Caenorhabditis elegans: one gene and its partner. The protein of the gene in region 1 purifies or fractionates together with the protein of each later gene. This does not show direct contact. Each region holds a gene or a part of one and is shown on either strand. Other genes may lie near its edges.

Evidence for each region. Proteins that work in one complex are often made in the same cells at the same time.
Region 2: the proteins of T10F2.2 (region 1) and ptpn-22 fractionate together in Caenorhabditis elegans (co-fractionation; one large-scale study listed by BioGRID). This does not show direct contact.

The regions. Positions count from the first base shown.
Region 1 is NC_003281.10:5,162,942-5,167,721, forward strand, and holds T10F2.2 (Mitochondrial ornithine transporter 1), read right to left. Parts: upstream 2,371-4,780; 5' UTR 2,351-2,370; coding exon 2,116-2,350; intron 1,747-2,115; coding exon 1,192-1,746; intron 1,135-1,191; coding exon 1,019-1,134; 3' UTR 818-1,018; downstream 1-817. Other genes in the region: gars-1 (Glycine--tRNA ligase), read right to left, coding at 600-683; ulp-1 (Sentrin-specific protease), read right to left, coding at 3,338-3,505, 3,708-3,786, 3,863-4,594, 4,643-4,740.
Region 2 is NC_003282.8:1,734,033-1,740,110, forward strand, and holds the start of ptpn-22 (Protein-tyrosine-phosphatase), read right to left. Parts: upstream 3,853-6,078; 5' UTR 3,834-3,852; coding exon 3,786-3,833; intron 3,739-3,785; coding exon 3,660-3,738; intron 3,615-3,659; coding exon 3,439-3,614; intron 2,755-3,438; coding exon 2,646-2,754; intron 1,923-2,645; coding exon 1,784-1,922; intron 1-1,783.

The DNA of each region.
Region 1 (4,780 bases):
AGCGCGCCCTATCAACACGAGAAAGAGATTGTAGACGGCAGAGAGACAAATCCAAGAGGGACGTGAAAGTTTTCATTTAAAAAAGCAAATTAAGCATAATGGTATTAGCATTAAAATTTTCAAAAAGCATTAAAACTTTCAAACCCTTTTCATATAATTACTGGAGAACCAGCGAAATCTAGCGAAGTTTTCAGGAAAAAAACATTGCGAAATTCAACACAAAGAAAATGAAATGCAAGGCTGTCAGATTTCATCATGTTTGAATTTGTTTGTACATGCACACCGTTTCCGCTAAATTGCGGATCAACAATAACAATTTCACACCATTTTTATTAATGATATTTACATCAAAGTTTGAAATTTTTGTTTTAAGCTTCTAAAAAAGGTATTAAAATTTTTTAACTTTCAGAAAATAATAAATTCTCACAGAAAAAGGAAAAACAATTTAGCCGATTGTGTCTTCAGTCCGATATACTGACGACAAGATTCACTTCCGCATGGACAACGAGATCATGCGCGAGTGTAAAAAGAAACAGGATTTGCCCAGCTATTCGTGATGAGACCTCAATCTCACTACCTAATTTGATATCTGTTCTCACCTTGAAAAATGAATTTTCCGATGAAAATTGTCTTATTAACCGCGAGTATCGGACGCTGCTTTTTAACCAGCAACTAGAGAACATGAACTGGAAGATTTTTGACTTTAGAAAGTTGTAGATCATTAGAAGCATTGGCCAGTGTTAGAAGCAGATAAATAAGTGACTATGAACAAATGTTCATTACATTTAGGATTTTTGAAGGTTAAATATAACAAAAAAAAACAATTTTTATTAAAAAATTTAGAAAACAACAACCGGGCGTAAGTGAGCCTATGGCAATCTCAGAGTAACCGTTAGAAACCGAAAAAAAACATTAAGAGAAACAACGAAGAAAGCTCTCATAGCATGATGATATTTGTGTGATGGAAAGAAAAAATGAGGAAAAATTGAAAAATTTACTAGGCAGAGATTAATATAATCTAGAGGACGTAGTGGAAGAACTTTCGTGTCTCTTCATAAGCGACGAAAAGACATCCAGAAGCGAAGCAAGTTCTTAGATTGGTTGGTAGAAGTCCTTTGTAGAGTCCACGAATTCCTGTAAAATTGAATTTTTATAAGAAATTGAATTAATTATCCCTCAATAATGACTTACCATTCTCTTTAACGACAGCGCCCAAAGTAGACATAAAAGTTCCTCCTCCGGTGACTTGCATTCTCGATTTAACGACATCTGCTGGATAAATGGATGTCCATAATGCCATACCACCAACTGATCCAGCCATTGCTGTCTTCACAAGTCCAATTTCTTCCTTTTTCTGTCCTTCATCAGTCAATAAGAAACGGCATGTTTCGTAGGCTCCAAAGAAGAAGAAATAACCAGGAACCTCTCTTGCAAGAGTCGGAGTCATTCCAACAAAGAATCCACGGACACCAGTATCCTTCATGATATCCCGACAAACAGAGAATGGTGTACACTTCTTCTTCATTTCACGAGCTGCTTGAAGTTTACATTTGACAAGTTCTGTTGGACAGAGTACGGTAGCTGCAAAAACTGCGGCAAGAGATCCGGAGAATGCATTTTCCAATGGTGTCATTTGTCTGACATCTTCGAGTCCATTCAGTGTGGCAATTGTTTTTTGGCAGTAACCATAGGCAGTGAAGAGAACTGCATTTTCAGCAACATTTGCAGCTAGAGCTGGGAGAGTTCCTGGATGTTGAAAAATATGAATTTTAGAAATCAAGTTACATTTAATTTTTCAAGATTTTTTCGATTTCATCTCGACTTCCAAATCAAAACTACGTTATTTGAAATAAAACGTTCAAAAAAATTGCTGAGCTTTCTGGAAGCTTTTTAGAAATTGTATTTTATTTAAAAAGAATCTGAAACTTTTGCAAAAAAAGGTTTTTTTTGAAAACACGTTATATTGTTCTTCCCAGAAAGGGTGAGAATTTTTACTTCAAGAAGTACTCTTTTTTATAGTTGCATGGAACGTGTTCAGTACAAAGGATTGTTTTTCTTTTTTTAGATTCAGAAATCCAGACTAAGCTCAAAATTTTCGAAACAAAAATAACAAACCAGCGTAAAGTCCTCGAATTCCGTCCAATTTATAAGTATCCTTGAGACAAACAATCCAATTTGAATAGAGATTCGGGAATGTTTGTACTTTTACTTTAACTGTATCTAATGGTTGTCCAGCATACACGTTGGCAATTCCACCAGCTGTTCCAGCCAATAAATCGATAATTCCATCTTTAAAATGATTGGCTGAAGCATCACCCGTTGCAGTTGTAGGTTCACCGCTTTCATGCATATTTCTATCTATTTTATTTTCTGAAATAACAAAAATTGGAAGAAATGGTTTTGAAAATTTCCAGAAAATTTAGATCACGATCATTTTTTCTTGTTTGCTAAATAGCTGGTTTTGTTGGTTTTTCGGACCAAAAAACAAAAAATTTAACTTTTGAGTCGTGAGGAGGAAAACAAAACGACAATTTCTTTTGGTTTTGGGAAGTTAAATTTTTTGTGACTTTGTGATCACGATGAGCACAATAAAGGAGGATTTAAATTTCCTCTGTTTAGAAAATAAAACATTGAATCTGTATAAACTTCAAAATATATAACCATGAGGTTGAAAATAAAACCAAGAAGAAAAAAAAATAAATTTCAACGAAAAAAAAGTGAAGAAATTGTATTTATTGCAACTTGCAATGGTGACGGGGATCGGGAGTGAAATATATTGATATAACAGAGAAAGCTGATTGATATTATTGAACTGGGAATTGAAAGGTGGAAGGGAGAGAAAATTGTTAATAAATACGTCAAAAATCAAATAAAACTCGGATAAAAGGAAGAATGAAAAAGAGAAAAGAGAAAAAAGGCCAGAGATCCACAGAGACAAAAAAATCTTAAAAACGGGATGGGAAAGTTTGCATCACCTTTTGAAACAAAACAACGTCATCTGAGAATGACCACGTGACAAGTGATAATGTGATGTGATCTGACACCGTCGATCATCTTTAATCTTTTGTATGAACATTCTTTACACGGTATGAAATGAAATCAAAAGTTATAATTAGTGATGAGAATCACAACGATATTTTGGATAATGAAGAAATGCTACGAAAATGGGAAATATGGTTAATTCGAAATACAGAAAATTAAAGACTTTCTAGATGATTCGGGCTTACGACACCGACAAAATATAAGTTTTAATTATGCCCAATGAGAAGAAAATACATTTTACAGCTACTTTTCCGGAAACAAAACTATGAATTATGACACTTTTAATCTTCTAGAATCAAATAGTTGCGAGTAACTTCTTCGAAACAATCTCGTAAACCATTCGCTTTCTGTAGTATGGCATATTTTTCTGCGTGAAGCGAGGCGTCGTTCGTCGAGATGCCCATTCACCGAATTGGCATGAGAATACTCCACAGTCACTGCCATTTTGTTGACGAGGAATGTCCTAAACAAGATGATTATCGCGTGTTGAAGATCTTTTTGTGTGTGTAATTTCAGAAGTATTACTGGTTGTTTTAGAGAGCATAGATATCAAAAAAAGAGTGATTGAGCCAAACATCTGGACTTCTAAAAAAAAACTTTTTTTCAGAAATAAATTTAAAGTAAAAATCCTTTTTTTTATTTAATTTTTTTAAAATTCAATATACCGTCATCTGTTGAATTGTCCATCCAGAAAAGTTCATTGCTGTCTTTTTCTTATCCAATGATTCAGCTTCCAAGTAACCTCTGAAATATAAAATATTTATTGATATATTCTCTGTGAGTTTTTTAAATAAAAACCAAAAACACTCAAAAAACTAACCGCAATGCTGGCAAAACGGCTGTATTTCCATCATAAAGAGAGTCATAAAACTCAATCTTCTTTTCGCCCATATCGATAACAGCCATACACCAATGCATTCCAAGATGAACTGGCACCAAAACGATGTCGAATGCAAAGATATCGACTTTTCTTGTCCATCGTTTCACACTCGCGTATCCTTTTGAAACAATATTGGAATAAAAGAATGTGTTGAATGCATAGATCTTTGGATATTTCGAATCGCCATTGCTCCGATCACAAATCAATTGAAGATAGAAATTGATGATCTCATCATTCAGCCAATGCAATCCACTCAATGTTGCAAGATCTTTTTTACAGATCTGAATGCTGAATGCATCCACAAATTGTTCATTTGGATTCCCTCCGCTCCATGCTCTTTCTACAAGAGCATCAGCAGCATCAGGTAAAGCCATAAAATCATCAACTTTCTTCTTCTCCACCTTCGGACGAATAGCGATTCCTTGCAATTCAAGTCTCTTCCGAACATCTTCCAATCGATCACCTCTTGTTTGAGAGCGATGTCCTTCTCGTATCCGAGCCTCTTCTAGAAGTTTATCCTCCTTCTGCTTCGACAATTGATAAGAATTCTGATATCTCTGCGGTCCTCGATATGCGGAACCGATTCCAAGGCTATTAATTTGCGAGAGAATATCATTGAGTTTCCTGTATGAATCAGATTCCGACGAATTTGATCGGGCGTGTTGGCGGTAACTTAAATTTATATTATTGCTTGAATTGATGAAAAACTTAAATAAATACCTTGAAGAAGTGGACTCTTCGCTATCAATGATGATGGATGGTTCTCTTGATAAGAGTGAAGGGGTGTTGCTTCGGGATCCTCCCAATTCTGCGATTTTCTGAAGAAAAAAGATCAGAAAGTTTTAAATAACAGTAATA
Region 2 (6,078 bases), on another chromosome or scaffold:
AAATTCAAAAAAATTTTCTAGATTTTATATAATTTTTTTGTGAAAATTGCAAAAATCTCAGTTTTCCCCTAATTCCTATTTGAATTTCCGCCAATTGAATTTGTTCGCTGGAGCGCGCTTGCATTATTTTTTATTAATTTATAATCTTTTTTCTCATTATTTCACTGATTTTCTTCATTATTTGTGTATTTTATCGGAAAAAGAGAGAAAAATTCAAGATAAATGCAAATTATTTATTTAAAAATCACTGAAAATGAGTGAAACTGTAAAATTATGAGTTCCGACGATAAAGCAAGCCTGAAATTAGCTTATTTCACAGTTTCACCCATTTTCAGTGATTTTTAATAAACAATTTGCATTTATCATGTATTTTTCTCTCTTTTTCCGTTAAAAATACACAAAGAATGAAGAAAATCAGTGAGATAATGAGAAAATATAATAAATTAATAAAAATAATGCAAGTGCGCTCCACCGAACGAATTCAATTGGCGGAAATTCAAATATGATTTGGAGGAAAACTGAGATTTTTCCAATTTCCAAAAAATCATATAAAATCAGGGAAATTTTTTTGAATTTTTTAATCATGATATTCGGTCATTGTGGTACCATAGGCGTGTTTTAAAGCAATTTCGCCACTGAGCGTGGTCCACCTTTAAATCCTGAAAAATTGGAATTTTCAGCCATAAAATGACGATAAAAGCGTTTTTTTAAATTACTTTTACAAAAAAAAATTATAAATTATTTTTGAACTCCCGCGCAAAAAAATCGACAAAAAATTTTACACCGAAAATCAGCATTTCCCAGGCTACTTTTTCGAATAAAAAACACTGTTTCTAGAAGAAAAATTCTGAAATTGATGGATTTTATTACCGGAACACATAATCCTGAGAATGCGTATTGCACAACATATTTGACGCGCAAAATATCTCGTAGCGAAAACTACAGTAATTCTTTATATGACTACTGTAGCGTTGGTGTCGATTTACGGGCTCGATTTTCAAAATGAATTTATTTTTCGAATAGTGACAGCGATTTTCCTTTTTTTTTTCGTATTATTCTCTCATGTTTTGCTTAAAAAAACGAGCTCGTAAATCGACACAACAGCGCTACAGTAGTCATTTAAAGAATTACTGTAGTTTTCGCGACGAGATATTTTGCGCGTCAAATATGTTGTGCAATACGCATTCTAAGAATTATGTGTTCCCGTAATAAAATCCATCAATTTCAGAGTTTTTCTTACAGAAAAAAGTGTTTTTTTAATCGAAAAAGTAGCAAAATAGTGAATTTAAGAAATTTTAGGGGAACTTTTTATTCGTTTTTTAATTTTTTTTTAATAAAAAAAATTCAATGTGGAAGTTTCGGAGGCTGCTTTTTACTTGAAATGTAGATTTTTCAACGGAAAAACTGAAATTTTTCGTTTTTCATTTTTTATTTTCAATTTATTTTTAACTGAAAAATTGCAACTTTCACTTGAAATTCATCATTTCCTTGTTTTTTTTTCAATTCTCAAGAAATCCTAAAAATTTCTGAAAAATAATTTATTTTAAAGTTTCATTTTGTTCGATTTTGAAGATAAAATCTTCAAAATTTCATTTAAATAATTAAAAAATGCTCGGAGGTTTTTGGAGTTTTCTATTAAAAATTTCAATTTCTGGCTTGATATTGTCCTTTTTTGTCAGAAATGTTTGCTGCTTCGGAGCTAACATGAAAAACTAATTTTTTTACACAAAATCCTGCATTTTCAAGCTAAAAATGCTCATTTTTGAGCTCCATAAGCCTATACCATTCGTCGAGTGTAGCCGGTAGCGGAGCCTGTGCCGCAATAAATTCAGTTTTTCCACCAGGCAATTGAATTAGTGAAGCGTTCATATATCCTTCGGGGTTTTCACTGTCTTTTTGGATTTCCACACGATTTTTGTCATCTGAAATGGCGAAATTTGTGCTTAAAAATTGGAAAAAAACGGATTTTTTTTATTTCAAATTTTAGAGTTAATTAAAATGGGTATAGCGTCGTCAAAATTCGAAAATTTTTGAGAAATTTCATCAAATTTGGTCAATTTTTTTATTAAACAAAAAAAAAATCAGTGAAAACGTCAATAAAAACGTATTTAATTGCATTAAAAAATTTTTTCAGAAAAAAATTGCGGATTTTTTGCTAAAAATGGCCAGAAGGCTTCAAATTTCGTGAATTTTGAATATTTTTGCAATCTGAAATATTTTTTTTTGGTCAAATTTAAAGAAATTCTCGATTTTTCTGAAATGGGAGGCAGATAGCTCAGTCGGTAGTGGTGGCCGCTAGCAGTCTGGAGGTCACGAGTTCAAGTCCGGCCTCACCCCTAGGTTCACCCAGCCTCTATTGGGAAGTGGAGCAATCCACGACTGGATTATCGGCCACAGTCCCCGGCTAAGACGTGGCTTAAATTACAGCCCAGAGGGATCACCACCAGGCAATGTACCTGAATCCCAGATCCGCAGTGCAAAGCACTTGAAGAACGGATCGTCCTTTAATCCTTTTTTTTAAAAAAACACACAGTTTTATGCGATTTTTCCCAAAAAAAAAGTGTCAAAATTCTCGCTTTTCCTGCTTGAAAATGACGCTATACCACACTTTTTGGCGAAAAATTCGATGAAAATCAAAAATTTACACGGCAAAATGTCGCGATATCGATTTCGAGCATAATGTTGCGGTGCGACGGCACACTCTGACCGATATTCGGCTTCCATTCGCAGTTTTTCCTGTTCCACTCGGATTTGCTGAAAAAAAATCGATTTTTGTGGGTTTTTATCAGGTGGAAAATGGGGGAAAACTGGCTGAAATCGACCCTAAAATCACCAAAAATCAAGTGAAAATTGCTTAAAATCTATTTAAGTCGTTGAAAATGGTGCAAAATTTGGCGAAAAAGTGCAAAAAATCGACAGAATTCGTCGAAACTGTCAAAATTCCATTAAAATGAGGTTAAATATTCGAGAAATTCGCTAAAAATGCTTGAAAACCTATAAAAATTAACAAAACTGTCTATTCTCGGCAAAAAAAGTAGAAAATTGCCATAATTTAACGGAAAAAAATGAGGAAAATCGTTAAAATTAGACAAAAATTGCCGGAAATTCTCGAAATTGGCTATATTTCTAGGGAAAAAGTCATGAATAAATCGAAATCTGCGAAAAATTTCCAGAATTTTGGCAGTATTCGCTATAAATAGTTTTTTTGTTGAGAAACTCGTCAAAAATCGGAGAAAAATTGTGTGGAAACCAGTGAAAATGACCAAATTTTGGCGAAAAGTGTCAAAAATCTGTGATTTTCGTTTTGAAAAAAGTTTCGACCGAAAATTGACAGAATTTGGCTCGAAAATCGCTAAAATTCGACCAAACTTTGGCTAATTATCGTCGAAAATCGTAGAATTTCGCTGGATATTCCCTAAATTCGACCAAAATCCGTACATAAAATCTGCGCAAATAGTCCTGCGGCGTGTAGGCCTCCTCTTCCTTCAGAAATTCGCGCAAAAGCCCATCCATCGCCGGATTTTTCTCGAAAATCACAGGATTTCCGTTGGGAACTGTCGTCGCCGCCCGCTCCTCCTCACTTTCGAACTGAATTAGATCGCCGGTGGGTACTACTGAAAATTCGTGTTTTTTAGCCTAAATTTTCGCTATTTTCGAACCATTTGGAGTATCTTTGACTACTGGATTCGATGTAGGCAGTGGCGGCGGTGGGCTTTTTGGCTTTTGTTCCTGAATTTCCTGAAAAAAAACCAAATTTTATGGGTGAAATCGGGTGAAAAACGAACTGGAGGGCCGCCATCGTTCCAGACGGATGCCGATGTGTCATCTGACATTCGTTGTGTGTTTCGTTACCTGAAAAACGCGAAAAATTGGCTTGCAATTCAAGTTTTTCAGTGAAAAATTTGAAAAAATCGGTAAAAATCCGGGATTTCCAGTAAATTCTCTGAAAATCGCAGCTTTATTTTGGAAATTTAGACAAAATTTAGATTTTTTCGGCTGAGAAATGAAGAAATAATTTAAATTCAAGGAAAATATTAATTTTAGGCGGGAAAAAGGGAAAAATAGGCCAAATTTGAACTCAATGGTTTTTTCAAGGCAACACACGAATAACGAATAATACAAGCAATTTTTGCGTTAAAATTATATTTTTAGGCATAAAATATTCGATATATCCCTATAAATTAGGTTATTATGATGAATTTGCGAAATTCTAGTGAAAATTCGTTTTTAGTCTGGATTATACGGCAAAACACGGATTTTGGGCCTAAATTTGGGCGAAATTCAGCCTAAAAATCGAAATTTCTGCGTGAAAATTTGCGAAATTCGCTCAGAACTGAATAAAAAAGTAGCGGCCCGCGGGTGAGTCATTGTGTGAATTGCGATGGGGGGGGGGGGGAGAAAAATGCAAACGCGCTCCGTTGCAGCGGCGCGAATTTGAAAACTAGGCGCCGGGGATGTGAAGGTCAATTTTTGGGGTTTGTTTTGCGGTTAAGTTTTGAAGTTTGGCAAAATTGTTTTCAAAATTAAAAAAAAATCGAAGGCAACGACGCTCCGATATTCCGCCAGAACAGTGTATGCGCCTTTAAAGTGAGGTTACTGTAGTTTTTGATTTTTGCCGTGTTTTTTTAGAGTTTTAATAAGAAATCGAGAATTTTCACCAATTAATTTGCGGGAAACTTGTTTATTTTTCAAAAAATCTCTCAAAGAATTCGTTTTTCGTTCATTAAAATGAAATTTTTATGCAAAATTCTAATAATTCTGTAATAATCGTTTCGGGACCCAAGTGTAAATTTAATTCCATGCGCCTTTAATTTTTTAAAATCGAAGATTTTTTTGTTGTCTTTTTCGGAGATTTTTAGCTTCAAATTATTGGTTTTTAGAGGAATTTCGGAAGGTTTTTTCGTGAAAAACAAAGTTTTTTCAAATTTTTTACTAGAAACTGTTGAAAATTTCAACAATTTTTTTGCAGAAAAGGAGGCAGGAATCCCCTGAAATTAAAGTCTAAAAGAAAGCCGGAAGTACAACAAAATCAGAAGACTAGGCTCTCTAATGCTCTCGCCACTCTCATAAAACTAAACTCGAGGCGGCGAGCGATTCCTGGAATTCGTTCGTGCTTTTTTTGTTGCTGCAGTCACGTTTTTCGTGAATAAACCAAACTCGCGTACTTCTAGTGGAAAAATTAGTAAAAAAACTGAATTTTTCCAGAAAATATACTTAAAAACTGAACAAAAAATTCAAAATCAAGAATTTTAGCAAAAAAAAACCGAAAAACCTTCTCGGGGAGTACACGAGCCGCGAGGTTTGGTTTCTGGGGTGTTTATGCCTAAAAAGTGACTCAATCGATGAAAAAAAACTTTTTTTTTTTTTGAAAAAGTTTGAAAAAAAAACTGAATAAATAAACATTTCTGGGTGAAAAGAAGAAAAAGAAGAGAGATAGAGGTGAAAAAAATGACGTCCGCCGCCGCCGCCGCAAACACCGTCACATTAATTTGCACATAGACATTTACTGTCACTCTCGCGCCGCGTCCCCGATTCCTCGTGTCACCGCGGCGCAGCGCCCCCTACACACAGTTTTTTGTCTCTGAGTCTCTCGTGTTTTTGTGCACTCTCGCTCTCTCCGCTGTGAGCTCTAATCTGATTGCGGCGACGGTGGGAAAATGGGTGGCCAGGGAGAGATGTGTGGAAGATTGATCGGAAAATTCCGATTTTCTAGTAGTTAGAGGAATTTCTTGAGAATATACTTTAAAAATTAGAATAATTTTCCGAAAAATTTTTTTTTTCTCTATGAAAAATGAGCGAAAACTCGTTTGTTTTGGTAAAAATCGGCTTAAAATTCCGAAATGTATTGCGACTTTAAAGGCGCATGGATTTATTTCCCCGTTGGGTCTCGAAGCGATCCAAGCAATTTTGATGCGAAATTTAAATTTTTAGCTGGAAAATGACCGGAAGACTTGAAAGTTCCGGCTGGTAATTGATTAAAATTGAATTTTAGTGAATATTTTCTCAAAAACCCCGGGTTTTGAACGACTTAAAAATAAAAAAAATTAGCGGAAAAAATCACTTTTTAAACAAAAAATC